2 linked regions of the Elephas maximus indicus genome follow. The protein of the gene in region 2 binds, or shares a complex with, the protein of the main gene of each other region. Links are inferred from orthologs where the notes say so. Each region holds a gene or a part of one and is shown on either strand. Other genes may lie near its edges.

Region 1 (7,642 bases), on a different chromosome or scaffold from region 2:
CAAGGCACAGGCCTGAGGTAACTCTGCGTATTCCCCTCTAAAGCAAGAGAATTTTAAGCACTCAAGTAACCACGCTGATCAAAGCTAAATCCCTTAGGAAGATTATCCATTCTGAAATCAGGAAAATCCTGCAATGTAAGCACTTTTCTGCTCCACCTTTGTGAAAAGAACTTGATTTCTGCAACACTGTTTCAAACACACACACATACAACCCTCTAATGCTTGCAGGGCAGAAATAGGCAGCTGCAAACGTGTTTCTGCAAGCTGATGGCCCTCTCGAGGTGTTTCTAGCTCAGCTTGGGGACCATCTTTGAGCTCACACAGAAGAAAAGGAAGAACTCCTAGGGATGGAAGATTTGTTAATGGGCACATAAGCTCAGGACATGTGCACCTTCTCTTTAGAATCAACTCTCTATGGCATGACAGTAAAGATAGAAATTGAAATTCACACTCTCTCCCTAGAGTTTTTTTTTTATGCTAATCCCTCACAAACCCGCCTTGGGTTTTGCAAATGCTCAGATCTGTTAACACCATGAAGGCATCCTAGAATTTAGGAAACTTTGAGTCGAAAACCTCTTTTCTCTGACACCAGCACTGTCCTCTCCCAAGCTCCAAAGTTTAAGGACAAAACCTAGGCTCTAGATGTTTTGTTCAGCTTGCTGTTTTGAGTATCCGAGGGCACTGCAAACTATTTTGGTTACTTTATACTATTGGTTGAATGTCCCTTTTCCCTTCACCAATCTCTCTGTCCATCACACAGAGGGCTCCATGCACTTTCTAAACTTACCCGCAGTTATTTCGCATCCATGTGTGATTTAACAGCTGTTTATAAACCAGCCATGGGCAGAAGCACGCAGGAAGTGGTGTGACGCCATGGCTGTCTATGGTATCGGTGGGAAACCAAACAATGCTATACCACAATCACCCACTGCTTAACTCATGAGTCTTCTGATGTGTGGGAGCCTGGGGGCTCTAGGCAGATGTATTTACCCAAGTCTACCTACCCAGGGTAAGTGACCGTGGGGCCCTTTCCCTAGAGGAATCAGCTGGTGATATTAAGACTGACCAGTGTGAGTGGAGAGGGAAGGTGGAGACGAGCAGGAAGAATAACTAAAGACCTGTAGATGCTGGAGAGGGACATGTCCTACTGACAACATCCAAGCTTAATGTTTCTGAAATGGCCCAAATGTAATTTGGCAAAGCAAAGTCAACATACGTTTCTGACTCGGGGTATTTGAGGCTGCCTGTTCCTGCCTGATGCAATCAACACGGCCCACCCAACACTAAAGAATGAAGACAAACCTAGAATTATTCTGTCTTTCTAGCAGGTCTTTAAGCTGCATCCTGGTAAAACCCTACTGTCTACCTCCTAAGGTGGTGATGGTAACTGCTATAAAGAGCTCAGGGGCAGAAGGCCAGGCCTTCCAGGGACTTGGGCAGAGAAAGTTGGGCAGGGTTTTCGGAGACCTCTCTTACTGGGCTCTTCTCGTGTTGAGGCCACACTGCAAGCGGCAGACCTTCCTTCTTGGGCTCAGTGGAGACTTTGGAAGCCCAACTTAGAAACCTAAGCAGGGCAGAAGACTGAGGAGGAATGCTCTGACCAGATAATAGTAGCTAGGCGGTCCAAGAGTGGGAATGTACCTCCTCCTGTCAAGCCCTGCCCAGGAAATCTGCCTGAATCCAGGATTTTTCTTTGGTTTCCACAACACAGCCACTTGGAAACAAATTTCTAAATCTTTCAAAGCTGAGAAATATATAGTTACCCAGGGAAAGGCTTAAGGTCTTTCTCTTCTATCTCCATGACTTCATCATCTAGGTCACTGGTGGGAACACTCAACCTGAGTCAACCTACAAGTGGACTTTTTCGGGTGTGGACGTCTAATTTGGGGGTAAGGGGCGACAGGGACACTTTATGTTGCTGCTACTTGGAAGGCAGGTACCCAAGCTACAAGCACTCTGGGCTTGTCCTAGAAGCAGCAGCAGCAGCAACTACAACCATCTTTTCTTGGTCCTGAATTGCACATGTGACCCCAAGTACCACTGGGGCTTTTCCTAAGGGAAAACAAACTGTCGTGAAGATCCGTGTGTGCGTGAGCGCGCGTGGGTCTCTGCGTGTGCAGTCTATGCCCGGGGAACCAGTGAGAAATAGATTGAACGCTATAGCCCCTGGCCACGCCGTTCCAGTCCGATCTGAAGCCCCACTGTTGTCCCCAGCTTTTGCTGTTCCCCAAACCTCCCGCAAAATCAAGCGCCAAGTTGCCCGTGGTCGTGGCGGCCCCGGGTGCAAGCGAACCAGCGCGGATCCTACCTCGAGAGCTTTGCAATCTTCACAAAGCTGAAGACATCCATGCGGGCAGCCGGGGACTCCCGAAAGCGCAGCGCTGCTTCCGTTGCCCCTCCTCAAGACCGCAGCGGCCGCAGCGGCAGCCCCATGACCGGGACCTCGGCGCGCCCGGGGCTCGAGTGGCGGCGACGGCGGGTGGCGGCGGCGGCCCGGTTGAGCCGGCACCTGGAGGCGGCGGCTGCTACCCCCCTCCGGCCGGGAGCTGCGTGTGCATTCCGAGCAGGACCGTGGAGCGGCGCCGCGCCGGGAAAAGTCACTGGAGAGGGGCTGGGCGCGGGCGGGGGCGGCCGATCGTGCGCCCCGCCCCGTGCGCCCTGGCGGCGGGAGGCGAGGCGGCGCGGGGGTCCCTCCTGCTCCAGCCGCGACCCGTGCCCCGCGCTCCGGGGAGCGCAGATGCACTGGGAGGCGACGGGCTACTGGCGCGGCTCACGCACCCCTCGCAGCACTGCAGTTGCCTCCCCGCCGCCTTCCTGCCCGAGTCCCCGTTCCTGTCCCCACCCCCACAGCCCGGGGAGGGGGCACACGCTCCTGTCACCCTCTGTGTGCGCCTCTCGAGCGGCAAGATCGGCTCCAACAGTCTCTGGCACACTGAGGGCCCGCAAACGCCACCCCGCCCTCCCCAAGCCCGACGAGGGCCGGGCCACCGCAGTTTGCCCAAAGCCTCAGTGGGTTCCACAACCACCCGTAGCCCAGGCGGACGATCCGGGAGGGTGCAGGCAAGATCGCTGGTCCAAGGAAAGGGGAGGGAGATACCCAGCGCGGTGGGCGCGATTTGGAAAGCGCAGAGTTCTCACTGCCTTCCTCGACCTGCTGGGGCAAGACGTGCCAGCCCGGCCGGCTGGGAAGGAGTGTCTTAGGAATCAGCGCCAGGGGGGCGTCGGCGAAATCAAAACAATTAGAACCAGAGCCTTGTGTGTGTGTTGGGGGCGGGGGAAGAAGCGATAACAGCTAGAGGGGGACAGGCGAGCAGGGGGTCCCAGCAACCCGCGGTGGAGGGGGCGGGGGGGGCTCGTTTGAATGGGGGGCTCAGACTTATAGAGAAGGGATGAGAATGGGGTCTGGCCTGCAGACCTAGCTGCTTTTTCAGATTGAGCGGTGGGTGAAGAAGGAAACAAACAAAATACAAAACCAACCCTCGCCTGAAAAAAACGAAAGCAGAGAAAACGTAAACACTCACCTTAAGCAGAGTAAACTCCAACTTGCAGCCATTTAGCACACCTACCCCGCCTCCCCCTTCAGTAACTCAGTTCTGTCTCCCAGGAAGCCCCTCTCTCTTCTTTCTCTTGGAGTCTCAGGACCTCTTCTCCAAAATCCTTGCAGAATTTCCCCCAAGCTTCTCTGAAGGAAGGTCAGCTGGTCTCCCAAAATGTGTCTCCCACCCAGCAGCGTTCATCTGCCAGCAGGGCCACCGCAAAGAAACGCTGCCACCCCCGAAATACTGGAGGAGCTAGCCACAGCAGCTAGCTCTGGAGGGGATCAGGGAAAACAGAATGGGTTTAAAGTTCTCAGACTTCTGCTCCTCTTCTGGTCTGAGGCTGGATTGAAAGTCTTCAGTATTCAAGCCAGGTACTTCCAAGTTAAAAAAAAAAAAAGCAATTCTTTCAAAAATTAAACATAAAATAACTAGCAATCTGCAAAACCTAATGATTTAAAGCTCACAGGTACAATGCTTACCTTTTTTTTTTTTCTTGAAGTAAATGGAATCAATGTCCCTTGAGCTTCTTGTAGATAAACTATAATTTCATGGCTCAGAGGAGGCCAGGGGAACCTTGGCTTGTGAACCCCCTATTGTTTGTGTAAAATAATAATTATAGTTTGGGTCTGCACAGTGCTTGAACATTTTTAAAACAGTTCTGCAATTGAGTCTCATAGCAACCCTGTCATATAAGTAAGGCACATGTTGAAAAAAGAGAAATCTTTTATTTTTATGCCACAATCTATTTTCAATGTACTAGTCAAAGAAATGTTTTTTAAACGTGGGTCGGATAATGTTACTTGCTGGATCCAAGCCCTGCAAAAGCTGTCCATTCTCCTGAGAGCTACAGTTGCACCCCTACGATAACCAACAAGGTCTTAGTCACCCTGGCCCTTGATCTCTCTGACCCTATCTGACCTCCCTTCTTCTCTCCCCTCCCATCCTGCTCCAGCAACACTGGCTTCCTTGCTGCTTTTCAAACTGGGCAGGTATCCCGCCACGTTAGGCTCTTTGCAATGGCTGTTCCCTCTGCCTGGAATACTCTTCCTTCAGATATTTGCATGGCCAGCTCCTTCACCCCATCAGGCCTTTCCACAAATGTCGCCTCCAAAAAGCACCTCTGAAAAGCCTATCTGAAACTTCCAGGCCTGCATCCCCTGGCCTCTGAGTCCCCATGAACTGCTCCATTTTTTCCTGTTTCCTTTTTTTTTTTTTTATAGCACTTATCACCCACCAACACACTAGATAATTTATTTTTATGTTTATTGTTTCTTCTCTGATTCCTGCACTGGAATGAAAGCTCCACAAGGGCAAGGATGGATTTCACTGATGGGTCTCAAATGTCAAGGACAGTTCCTTGGATATGTTGTTGTTAAGTGCCGTTTGGACTCACAGAGACCCCATATGACAGAGTGGAACTGCCCCACAGGGTTTTCTTGGCTGTAATCTTTACAGGAGCAGATGGCCAGGTTTTTCTCCCACGGAGCTGCTGGGCGAGTTCAAACCACCGATCTCTTGGTTAGTAGCCGATCACTTAAGCACTGTGCCACCAGGGTTTCTTTCCTTGGATGTAGAAAGACCTTAATAAATATTTGTTGAATGGACAAATTTTATGTTCATCAGATTCTCAGACAAATCCAATCGGTCTGGCATCCCATCGGTGCTGCTCTGTCTCTGACCTCAGGGCTTATCTTTGCCCACGCCCCCCACCCCCAAACACACACACTCTTCCTTCCTCAGCAGCCTTCACTGTTTGCATGTCCTTTGAATTGCTAATGTGGCAATGAGGACACTCCCACATTCTCCAGTTCTTTTTTTCCTTCACTCTCTCTACCCCTTCCCAAAAGAGCGGCCACAGGCACTAGGAGACCAGTTTTGGATCAGGAAAGGGGGATGAAACAATGCCTTCAGAAACTGTATTTTGAAAAGTTTTTCCTTTTGAGAACAGAACAGTAGGGCTTTCTTCTTAAAAACATAATTCCATACCAAACAGCTAATCACCTGGTCGTGAAAATGACAAGAAATAGACATAGTGTTGACTTGTAGGGAGACAGACACCCTTCAAGACATCTGGTCGACCTGGAATAGCTTGCTGTTGGGCTTCTCCCCTCCGCCAATTTGTACAGTACAATTATTCACAGTGCAGATGCCCACTCTCCACAGCGTTACAGCCAGCGAGGGAAACGACTGGCTTCTCCAGTCCTTACACTCTTCTGATATATTAATGTTCTGGTATGTTTCTGGTGATCAATAGCTTTTCTTCTAAAGCAAAGACGTTCTGCCCCGCCTCCTTTGTTTCTCAGAGATGTAAAACTGGAAGTTCTGCTGCTCTGAAACACCATTAAGCCCTCTGAAAGAGATTTGAGTAGCTGTTCCATCAGCTCTAAGGAGCCCTGGTGGTGCCGTGGTTAAAGCACACAGCTGCTAACCAAAAGGTCGGTAGTTCAAAGCCACTAGCTGCTCAGGGGAGAAAGATGTGGCAGTCTACTTCCGTCAAGATTTATAGCCTTGGAAACCCTATGAGGCAGTTCTACTTTGTCCTATGGGGTTGCTATGAGTTGGCATCAACTGGACAGCAGTGCGTTCAGTCTGAGTTTTCTATCAGTTCTGACCTTCTCTGTACCAGGTGTGTGCGGCAGAGGTTGGAATATGTTTCTATGTCTAACATGAAATGAATCTCCCTAAAACAAAACAAAAAACCAATGAGTGGCACCTTGAGCAGATTTTCTGAAGTTTTTTTTTTTTAGTCTGGATAACCTCTAAGGCCCCTTCGATATTTTGTAGGAGGAAAGTGGTGGCTCAGTGATAAAATTTTCACCTTTCATGCATGAGACCCAGGTTCAATTTCTAGCCAATGAACTGCAAGGACAGCCACCACCTGTCAGGCGAGAAGCTTCCATGTTGCTGTGATGCCGAACAGGTTTCAGCGGAGCTTCCAGACTAAGATGAACACGGAAAAAAGGCCTGAAGATCTATTTTCGAAAACCAGCCAATGAAAAAACCCTGTGGATCACAGTGGTCCAATCCTGTTGTACATGGGGTTGCCATGAGTCAGGGTCCGACTCAATGGCGGCTAACAACAACTACGACATGCTTTGTAGAGGTTTTACTCATCAGGACCTCTATTACCCTCCTTGCAAATCTACTTAATTTGCCTTACTTGTATCCAAGAGACATTTGGCCATTTCTGAAAACCAAACACACTTTCAAAGACTGTTGAATTTACTCATGAATAAGAGACTCAAAGTCAACGGATCCAGAGTAAGTCACTTAACTTCTCTGAGACTCAGTTTCCCTGCCTTTAAAATGGAAATGATAATACATCCCTACCTTACCGAATGAGCGCTTGAATGTGGACACCAGTTCAGAGTTGGCACATGGATATTAGCTCCAGAAAGACATCCACACCTGTTTTGAGTCTTGGCAGCACTGTCACCAAAAGTTGCAGCCTCTAAAATCACTGCTTTGAAGATGACAATATTTGCTTGGATTGTTCAGATGTGGATATTTTTGCCACAATCATCGAAACCCTAAGCAGTGTTATTTTTTATGCTCTGGGAGAATTCTCAGGACAAAATTTTTTATGCTCTGGGAGAATTCTCAGGACAAAGAAGAAGGAGTTTCTTCTTCGTTAAGTTCTTACCTAAAGTTGATGTTGGGAATCTACTATTGGCCCAGATGTTTCATACGGGTTGGCAGCTAAGGGTCCTTTTGCTGCACGTTACAATAGAGAAAACTCTATGCCTTTTCCATTTGGACTGTAGCATCTCAACCATCTCGTTATAGCCCTGAAAACAGAAGTGAGTAAATAAAAGCATAGTATCCATTCATTTAATAAATATTCATGGAGTTTTTCCTTTGTACCAGGCACTGTCCTAAGGAAATATACCAGAGAACAAGGCATATTTCTGCTTTCATAGAACTTACATTCTAATACGGAGACAGACAATAAAAATATAAAATATCATATCATGAAGTATTACTTCCTTTGCCAGGACACCAGAACTGGATGGTGTCTGGCTACCATTACTGAATGTTTTGATCAAGGACTCAATACAATAGACGAGTCCTGATCAAAAAGAGGAAAAAGATGGAACAGAATT
Region 2 (7,891 bases):
AAAGCACTTAACACAGTGCCTGGCTTTAGTACTTAACAAAAGCACTCAACAAAGTGTAGTAGTCATAATGATAATAGCTGTTGTTAGTATTACAAAATAAAATCTGAGTCTAAATCTATGTCAGGTTTTTAATTTTAAAATTCCAGAGAACTCATTATAACATTTTATCTTTACCATAAGACCAGAAGGACTGGGTGGCACCCAGTTACCATTACTGAACATTTTAATCAGATTCCATAGAAGAATCCTGATCAAAAGGGGTAAAATGCAGAACAGAATTTCAAATTCTCATGGATTCCAGACTTTCCTAGAGCCATGGAGGGTGGATGAACCCCTGAAACTACCGCCCTGAGATAATCTTTAAATCTTAAACCAAAAATATCCCCTGAAGTCTTAAAGCCAAACAATAGTTTTGCTTAACTAGTAAAAAAGGTCTGCCTTGAGCATTATGCTGTTTTAGAAACTATCTATATGGGATCAAATTGACAACAGCAACTCAAAAGATTAGACAGAAACCTTAGAGGGCAATGAGTTTATGTTAATGAGAGGAACAACTCAGAAAAGGAAGGTGACAATGGTTGCACAAACTGAAGAATGTAATCAATGTCACTAAATCGTATTTGTAGAAACTGTTGAATTGCTGTTTTGCTGTGTATATTCTCTACAACAAAATTTAAAGAAAAAAATAAAGCATATGTCCTCCTCCAAGAAAAAAATATCTTTAGAAATAATTAAAAATCTTAGAAATATTTTATGCTTTAAGAACAAGGCCATTTGAAACTACTATATCCTATCATTGTTATAGTTAGCCTAGTACTAAGTCTCAGATTTATTAAAAATACATATATATTTGTAACAATGCATGTCTGGTTTAATAAAAGGAAAACACAACTAAACTGCTTATCCAGCCAAAGAAGATTTGGGGGAAATGCTTCTACCACAACATCACACAACTTTTTACTTTGTAACCACTCCTTATAAATAATAGAGTGAGAAACAGCCTTGCCAAAAGGAGCCCATGGTAAGGTGTATGTAAAGAAGAGCAGGTATGAGGCTGCCCCTGGTGCTCTGCATCTCACACCCCTTTACTTACACACACGCTCTTCTTAGGTTGCTTATTCACCTCTAGATCACTCAAGCAAAGCCACTTACGATAGTGAGAACCCAAGGAAAAGTGGTATCTATCAGAGGTAACCACACTGGCGGTTATCAGGCCAGAAGTCTTCGGTGCACCCTTCTGAAGAGGCTGCTTGAAAATTCAGCGGGTTGTTATATTAACTTCCCCCACTCATCAAAAAGAACTCCAGGAGGTGCCTGACTGAATGAAAGGGAAAGCCAAGAACCTACTCCGTTTAACTCTAGGGAAGGGTTAAATTATGCATTAAGGCAAAGAAAATTTCCATCCTTCCTTTCTCTTTTCTCCTTTTCTTTAACAGAGTTAAAATCATCTAACTGGTTACTATTAAAACATAAAGCAGTTAGAGATTTTCCAATTCTTACTACTTGAAGGTATCCTAGAGGTTTTCGGAGAAGGGGCTTTTAAAAAAAATTCTATGCTTACTAAAAAAAAAAAACTAGTTACTAGTAAAACGTAACTGGTTACTATTAAAACATAAAGAAACTCTGTTTAAGAAAACGAATAAGGAAGGATGGAAATTTTCTTTGCCTTAATGCATAATTTAATCCTTCCGTAGAGTTAAACGAAGTAGGTTCTCTGCTTCCCTTTCCTCAGGCAGGTATAGGAGTTCTTTTCGGTGTGTGTGGGAAGTTAACAAGCAGTCGAATTTTCAAGCAGCCCCTTCAAAGGATGCACCGAAGACTTCATAATCGCCAGTGCGGTTAAAAACCAAAAAACCCAAACCCACTGCCATCGAGTCTATTCCGACTCACAGCGGTTACCTCTGATAAATACCACTTTTGCTTGGGGTCTCACTATCAGAAGCAGCTTTGCTTGAATGATCTGGAAGTGAGTAAGTGTGTGTGTAAGGGGTGTGGGATGCGAAGCACCAGGGGCAGTCTCATACCTGCTCTTCTTCACACCTTACCACGAGCTCGTTCGGCAAGGCAGTTTCACACGCTATTATGCAGAAAGAGTGGTTACAAAGTAAAACTTTTTGTAGCAACTACCAACTTCTATATTATTTTATACCAATTTCTATAGTAAATCAGATAGGTGCAAAAAAAATCACGAATTAAAATACGGTAAGCGCAGGTATTTGACTAAAGTTTTGGCTATCAAGCGCACGGACCAAAAAAAATGAATGCATTGTGCTTCATTATGAATTCCGCAGGGATTCGGATTTTTAATGTGTTTGTTACGCTTCGATTACGTGAGCTGTCACTGTATTCTATTTTCATTTTTAAAAAAGATATTAGGGAACCAAGTTCTTCGGCTTTACTCTCATTTAAATAACAAGAAAACAACTGAGCGTTCGTCCTGGTGATGTGAGCGGCTTCTCAGCCGAGTTTCTGGCTTCTGGAGTCGGGTCTATCCCGAACCCCCAGCCCGACGCCCTCGACGCCGCGTCCCCGCAGCGCCCACAGGTCAGGGAAGCCCCCGGCCCCGCCGAGGACCCCGTCCCCACGCCTCCTCCACCCCGAACCCCGCTCGGCCGGCCTGAACAAAGGAGGTCGCCCCTCAGTCACAGAAGCCGCCCCCCACACGCACACGCTTGCACCCCTCCCTGCCGCCGCCCTCGTGAGGCGCCCCCAGGCGCCCGCAGCTTCCTCCGCGCCCCGCGGCAGAACTCACCTCCAGCGGGCTGGCGGGTTGGGGGTGCGCTGAGAAGCCGCAGGAGCGGCCGCCTCGGGCGACAGGCGGCTGTCCGCGGGCCCTCCCTCAGGCGGGTCGCGGCGCCGCGGGCGGAGAGCCAGGCAGGGGCACCGCGGGAGGCCGGCGCGCGCCCCCCGTCCCCGCCCCCGGCAGGTCACGTGAGCCAGAGCTCCGGGGGCTCTCCTCTCCTCTCCCGCCGTCGCACCGCCGCCGAGCAGCCCGCAGCGCCGCCCGCACTCAGCGTCCTCCCTGCTCTGCGCCTGCGCTGCAGCTCCGGGGGCTCCCATTCAAACCGACCCCGCCCCGCGTCTTTCGGACCGGCCAATGGCCGGGGACGGGGGCGGGGCCGAGCAGTAGTTCGCTCGCTGCCTACTCCCTCTCGGGCGTGGTGCCTTCGGGTCAGGCTGAGGGGAGCTTGGGGGACTTTGCCCTCAGCTGCTCTGACGCCCGTCCTCAACCACCACACTGAAGTAACTTCCCTCTCCTCTTATTTCTTCTTCAGACGCTGAAGAGTGGGGCGATAAATATACGTTCCAGGTAGGGTTCTTCAGACAGGGTCTCGCCTGGACCCCTTTCAAAGATGGGACCGCGAAACAAGTGCCTCCTTGCTTTGAGGCTCGGTGCCGCCTTGTAGAATGAGCATTCACAGCGGCATATGCGGGATGTTTAAGAAAAACAGGGCTCTATGAAAGGAACAGAGGGACCCGTGTGAAAGTCTGAACAAGGCAGCCTCAGTTCTTGAGGTTGTGTCACAATGCTGGCGCTTCCAGCTGTTAAAAACCAAACTTTATGTTGACGACAGAATCTCTGGTTCTTAGGAAAACTGGATGACGATTTTACTCGGTTTCAGGCAACTGAGTTCCAAATATACTGGGAAGTGTAAGTTTTAGTTCCGTTACTTCCCGTCCACGTCGTGTTAATCCCCCCAAATAGGTCTCAGTTTGTTCTCCTTCCCAAATACCAAGACTACAGCCTCTGGGCTAAAGAATCTGATGAATTTAAATTAGATTATTTCTCAAAAAGACATTTCTCCACTGAAATGAGATTTCAATATTTCTACAGGCTTAAGTACGTTAAAGAAAACCCTAATTCCAGGATTTCTCTGAATGATAGCCAAAACCAGTGACCCAAGAAGCTGCTTCGGAAGGTGTTACAACAAAGCAGTTAGAGTATCAGCTTTGGCATCACACTAGACCCGGGTTTGAGTTCCATCTCTGCCACTTACTGCCTGGCTGACTTTGAGCAAGTTAGCCTTAATTTCCTCAACTGGAAACCACGGATAATAAATCCTCTTCTAATAAAGATAGTAAAGTAAGGCTTGTTAGTTAACATAGTGCCTGACACAATAGAAACTGTTCAGTAAATGGTACCTGTTGTCATTGTTATCAACAACCACCTTTAATGTCAGGCTCTCATAAGCAATTGAATTAATTGTCTTACTATTTCAGAGGCAGATATTACAATTCCTTCTTACTCATAAATTCTTCTTGGGTATTAATATGAAAGCTACAAAGGAAATCCAATATATCAAATTCACTATATCCAAAATCAATCATCCCCCCCCAACCCCAGCAAATCTTCTCTTACACATGAGGACCCTATCCCTCATAATAGTCATCTTTATCTTTCCAATTACTCAAGTGGAATTACCTTCTAAAAGGCATAAATTATATTACGTCATTCTCCAAGTACCTAAGGAAAACTTCTCTGAGGATGTAGCATTCAAACTGATAATTGAATCTCGAGAAGAAACCAGCCTTCAAGTGAAGTTCAGGAAAGAGCACACTGGAGGGGGAAGAAAAGCTGAACCCGAGTCTGTAGGGCAAGAACAAGCCTTGTGGGTTTGAGAAACTGGAAGAAGGCTGGGGTGGCTGAAGTGAAGTGAGAGAGAGGAGAACATACAAGATGGAGTCACACCAGATCGTGTAGGCCTTTGTAAGCTAGGGAAATGAGTTTGGACTTTCTTTTCTAAGTGTTACAGGAAACCAGTGGAAGGTTTTAAGCATGGGAGTAACTTAATCCAGTTTCTCTTTTTTTTAAAGAGTGCTCTGGAACAAATCCAGAATTTGAGACATTCTACATGACAGTACAGACTCTTCATAAAAGTAAATGCCATACCACATCACACCCACTAAAATGGCAATAATAATAATTTAAAAACAGAAGTGTTGGTGGGGAAGTAGAGAAACTGAATCCCTTGTACGTTGCTGTGGAGAATGTAAAATGGTTTAGTCACCATGGAAAACCGTTTGGGGGTTCCTCAAAAAGTTAAACATAGATTACCATGTTGTTGTTGCTGTTGTTGTTAGGTGCCATCGAGTCAGTTCTGACTCATAGTGACCCCTATGTACAACACAACAAAACACTGCCTGGTCCTGCATCATCCTCACAATTGTTCTTATGCTTGAGCCCATTGTTGCAGCCACTGTGTCAATCCATCTCCTTGAGAGTCTTCCTCTTTTTCACTGACCCTCCACTCCACCAAGCATGATGTCCTTCTCCAGGGACTGACCCCTCCTGATAACATGTCCAAAGTACGTGAGAGGGAGTCTCACCATCCTTGCTTCTAATGAGTGTTCTGGCTGTCCTTCCAGAACAGATTTGTTCGTTCTTCTAGCAGTCCATGGTATATTCAGTATTCTTCACCAACACCATAATTCAAAAAGCATCAATTCTTCTTATATCTTCCTTATTCATTGTCCAGCTTTCACATGCATATGAGGTGATTGAAAATACCATGACTTGGGTCAGGTGCACCTTAGTCCTTAAATCTCTGCTTTTTAACACTTTAAGGAGATCTTTTGAAGCAGATTTGTCCAATGCAATGCCTCATTTGATTTCTTGGCTGCTGTTCCCATGGGTGTTGATTGTGGATTCAAGTAAAATGAGATCCTTGAAAACTTCAATCTTTTCTCCACTTATTGGTCCAGTTGTGAGGATTTTTGTTTTCTTTATGTTGAGGTGTAATCTACACAGAAGGCTGTAGTCTTTATCTTCATCAGTAAGTGCTTCAAGTCCTCTCCACTTTCAGCAAGCAATGTTGTGTCATCTGCATAATGCAGGTTGTTAATAAGTCTTCCTCCAATTCTGATGCCCTGTTCTTCTTTATGTAGCCCAGGTTCTTGGATTATTGCTCAGCATACAGATTGAATAAGTAAGGTGAAAGGATACAACCCTGACACACACCTTTCCAGATTTTAAACCATGCAGTATCCCCTTGCTCTGTTTGAATGACTGCTTCTTGGTCTAAGTACAGGTTTCTCATATGACCCAGCAATTCTGCTACTGGATATATACCCAAAAGAATTGAAAAGAGGTACTCAAACAAATACGTGTACACTCATGTTTATAGCAGCACTATTCACAATAGCCAAAAGGTGGAAACACTCCAAATGTCCATCAACAGAAGAATGAAAAAACAAACTGTGATATATAAAATATATATATATATTTTTAATACACATACAAGGAAATATTATTTAAGAATAAAAAGGAATGAAGTACTGGTACATGCTACAATGTGAATGAACCACCAAAGCATTACGCTAAGTGAAAGAAACCAGACACAAAAGGTTACGTATTGTATGCTCTCATTCATATAAAATATTAAAAAGATAAATCCGTAAAGATATAATGCAAATATACAAATGACCTGTTTGGGTTGAGACAAATTTGAATAACCAAGTAGATAACACTTATTGCTCCCAGAGAATATCAGTGCTCTCTTGAAGGGAAAAAAAAAAAAGTCTAAAGATTTTGTGTGGAGTTTCCTCAGCAAGAATGTGGACTTGGTAGCTCCGCCTTTTGGAATAAAAGAGGGAGAACATGAGGGGTAGGAGCTTCCCAAAGTAATACCTAAGAACCCTTGGGAAGGAGACCTCAAAATGCAAGGAAAACAGCCTGTTAAAACAGGCTCATAGGGTCACTATGAGTCGGAATCGACTCAACAGCACTGGGTTTTAATCTCTCATTTGGAAGCTGAAATGAATCAATAAATAATGACAGCTAAGATGTATTGGGGAAACCCTGGTGGCGTAGTGGTTAAGTGCTACGGCTGCTAACCAAAGGATCAGCAGTTTGAATCTGCCAGGCGCTCCTTGGAAGCTCTATGGGGCAGTTCTACTCTGTCCTATAGGGTCGCTATGAGTCGGAATTGACTCAACGGCACTGAGTTTTTTTTGGAAGATGTATTGGGGCTAATCATGTTCCAGGCACTGTTCCAAGCACTTCACATATTTGAGGATTATACCTAGACCCTGACTGATATAAGGACTACGTGAATTTATGTATGTAAAGTGCTTTGGACAATGTCTAAAAAACAAAACAAAACCAGTTGCTGTGGAGTCAATTCCAATTCATAGCAACCGTATAAGGCAGAGTAGAACTGGCCTATAGTTTCCAAGGCTGTTATTTTTTTTCTTTTTAATTGTGCTTTAGGTGAAAGTTTACAGTTCAAGTTAGTTTCTTATACAAAAATTTATACACATATTGTTATATGACACTAGTTGCCATCCCTATAGTGTGACAGCACACTCCCCTTCCCACCCTAGCTTTCCCTTGTCCCTCCAGCCAGCTCCTGCCCCTTCCTGCCTTCCCATCCTGCCTCCAGACAGGAGCTGCCCATTTGGTCTCTTTTATCTGCTTGGACTAAGAAGCACACTCTTCATGAGTATTATTTTATGTTTTATAGTCCAGTCTAATCTTTTTTTGAAGAGTGAACTTCAGGAATGGTTTTAGTTCTGGGTAAACACAGCATCCAGGAGCCATGGCTTCGGGGGTTCCTCCAATCTCAGCCAGACCATTAAGTCTGGTCTTTTTACTAGAATTTGAGTTCTGCTCCACGCTTTTCTCCTGCTCTGTCAGGGACTCTTTATTGTGTTCCCTATCAAGGCTGTCATTGGTGGTAGCCAGGCACCATCTAGTTCTTCTGGTCTTAGGCTGATGCAGTCTCTGGTTTATGTGGCCCTTTTGCCTCTTGGACTCATATTTTCCTTGTGTCTTTGGTGCTCTTCATTCTCCTTTGCCCCAAGTGGGTTGGGACCAATTGATTCATCTTAGATGGCCACTTGCTAGCTTTTAAGACCCCAGATGCCAGTCACCAAAGTGGGATGTAGAACA

Evidence for each region.
Region 1: the proteins of GPSM2 (region 2) and FRMPD4 are in contact, whole or in part, in a crystal structure (PDB 4WND), measured with the Homo sapiens proteins. The link is inferred for Elephas maximus indicus from reciprocal best matches to the Homo sapiens genes GPSM2 and FRMPD4. Residues at the interface, in NP_001307967.1 of Homo sapiens: Leu25, Ala28, Leu29, Glu32, Asp57, Lys59, Thr60, Ser62, Ala63, Ile64, Ser66, Gln67, Asn70, Phe73, Tyr74, His85, Asp88, Ala92, Gly100, Lys103, Asn107, Asn110, Thr111, Lys113, His128, Arg143, Tyr146, Asn147, Asn150, His153; in NP_055543.2 of Homo sapiens: Gln988, Leu989, Leu990, His991, Ser992, His994, Met995, Glu996, Met997, Glu998, Pro999, Glu1000, Thr1001, Met1002, Glu1003, Thr1004, Lys1005, Ser1006, Val1007, Thr1008, Asp1009, Tyr1010, Phe1011, Ser1012.

Annotation. Positions count from the first base shown.
Region 1 is NC_064846.1:167,817,102-167,824,743, forward strand, and holds the start of FRMPD4 (FERM and PDZ domain-containing protein 4), read right to left. Parts: upstream 3,010-7,642; 5' UTR 2,350-3,009; coding exon 2,309-2,349; intron 1-2,308. UniProt on the Homo sapiens protein: Positive regulator of dendritic spine morphogenesis and density. Required for the maintenance of excitatory synaptic transmission. Binds phosphatidylinositol 4,5-bisphosphate.
Region 2 is NC_064821.1:172,697,649-172,705,539, forward strand, and holds the start of GPSM2 (G-protein-signaling modulator 2), read right to left. Parts: upstream 3,010-7,891; 5' UTR 2,753-3,009; intron 1-2,752. UniProt on the Homo sapiens protein: Plays an important role in mitotic spindle pole organization via its interaction with NUMA1. Required for cortical dynein-dynactin complex recruitment during metaphase. Plays a role in metaphase spindle orientation.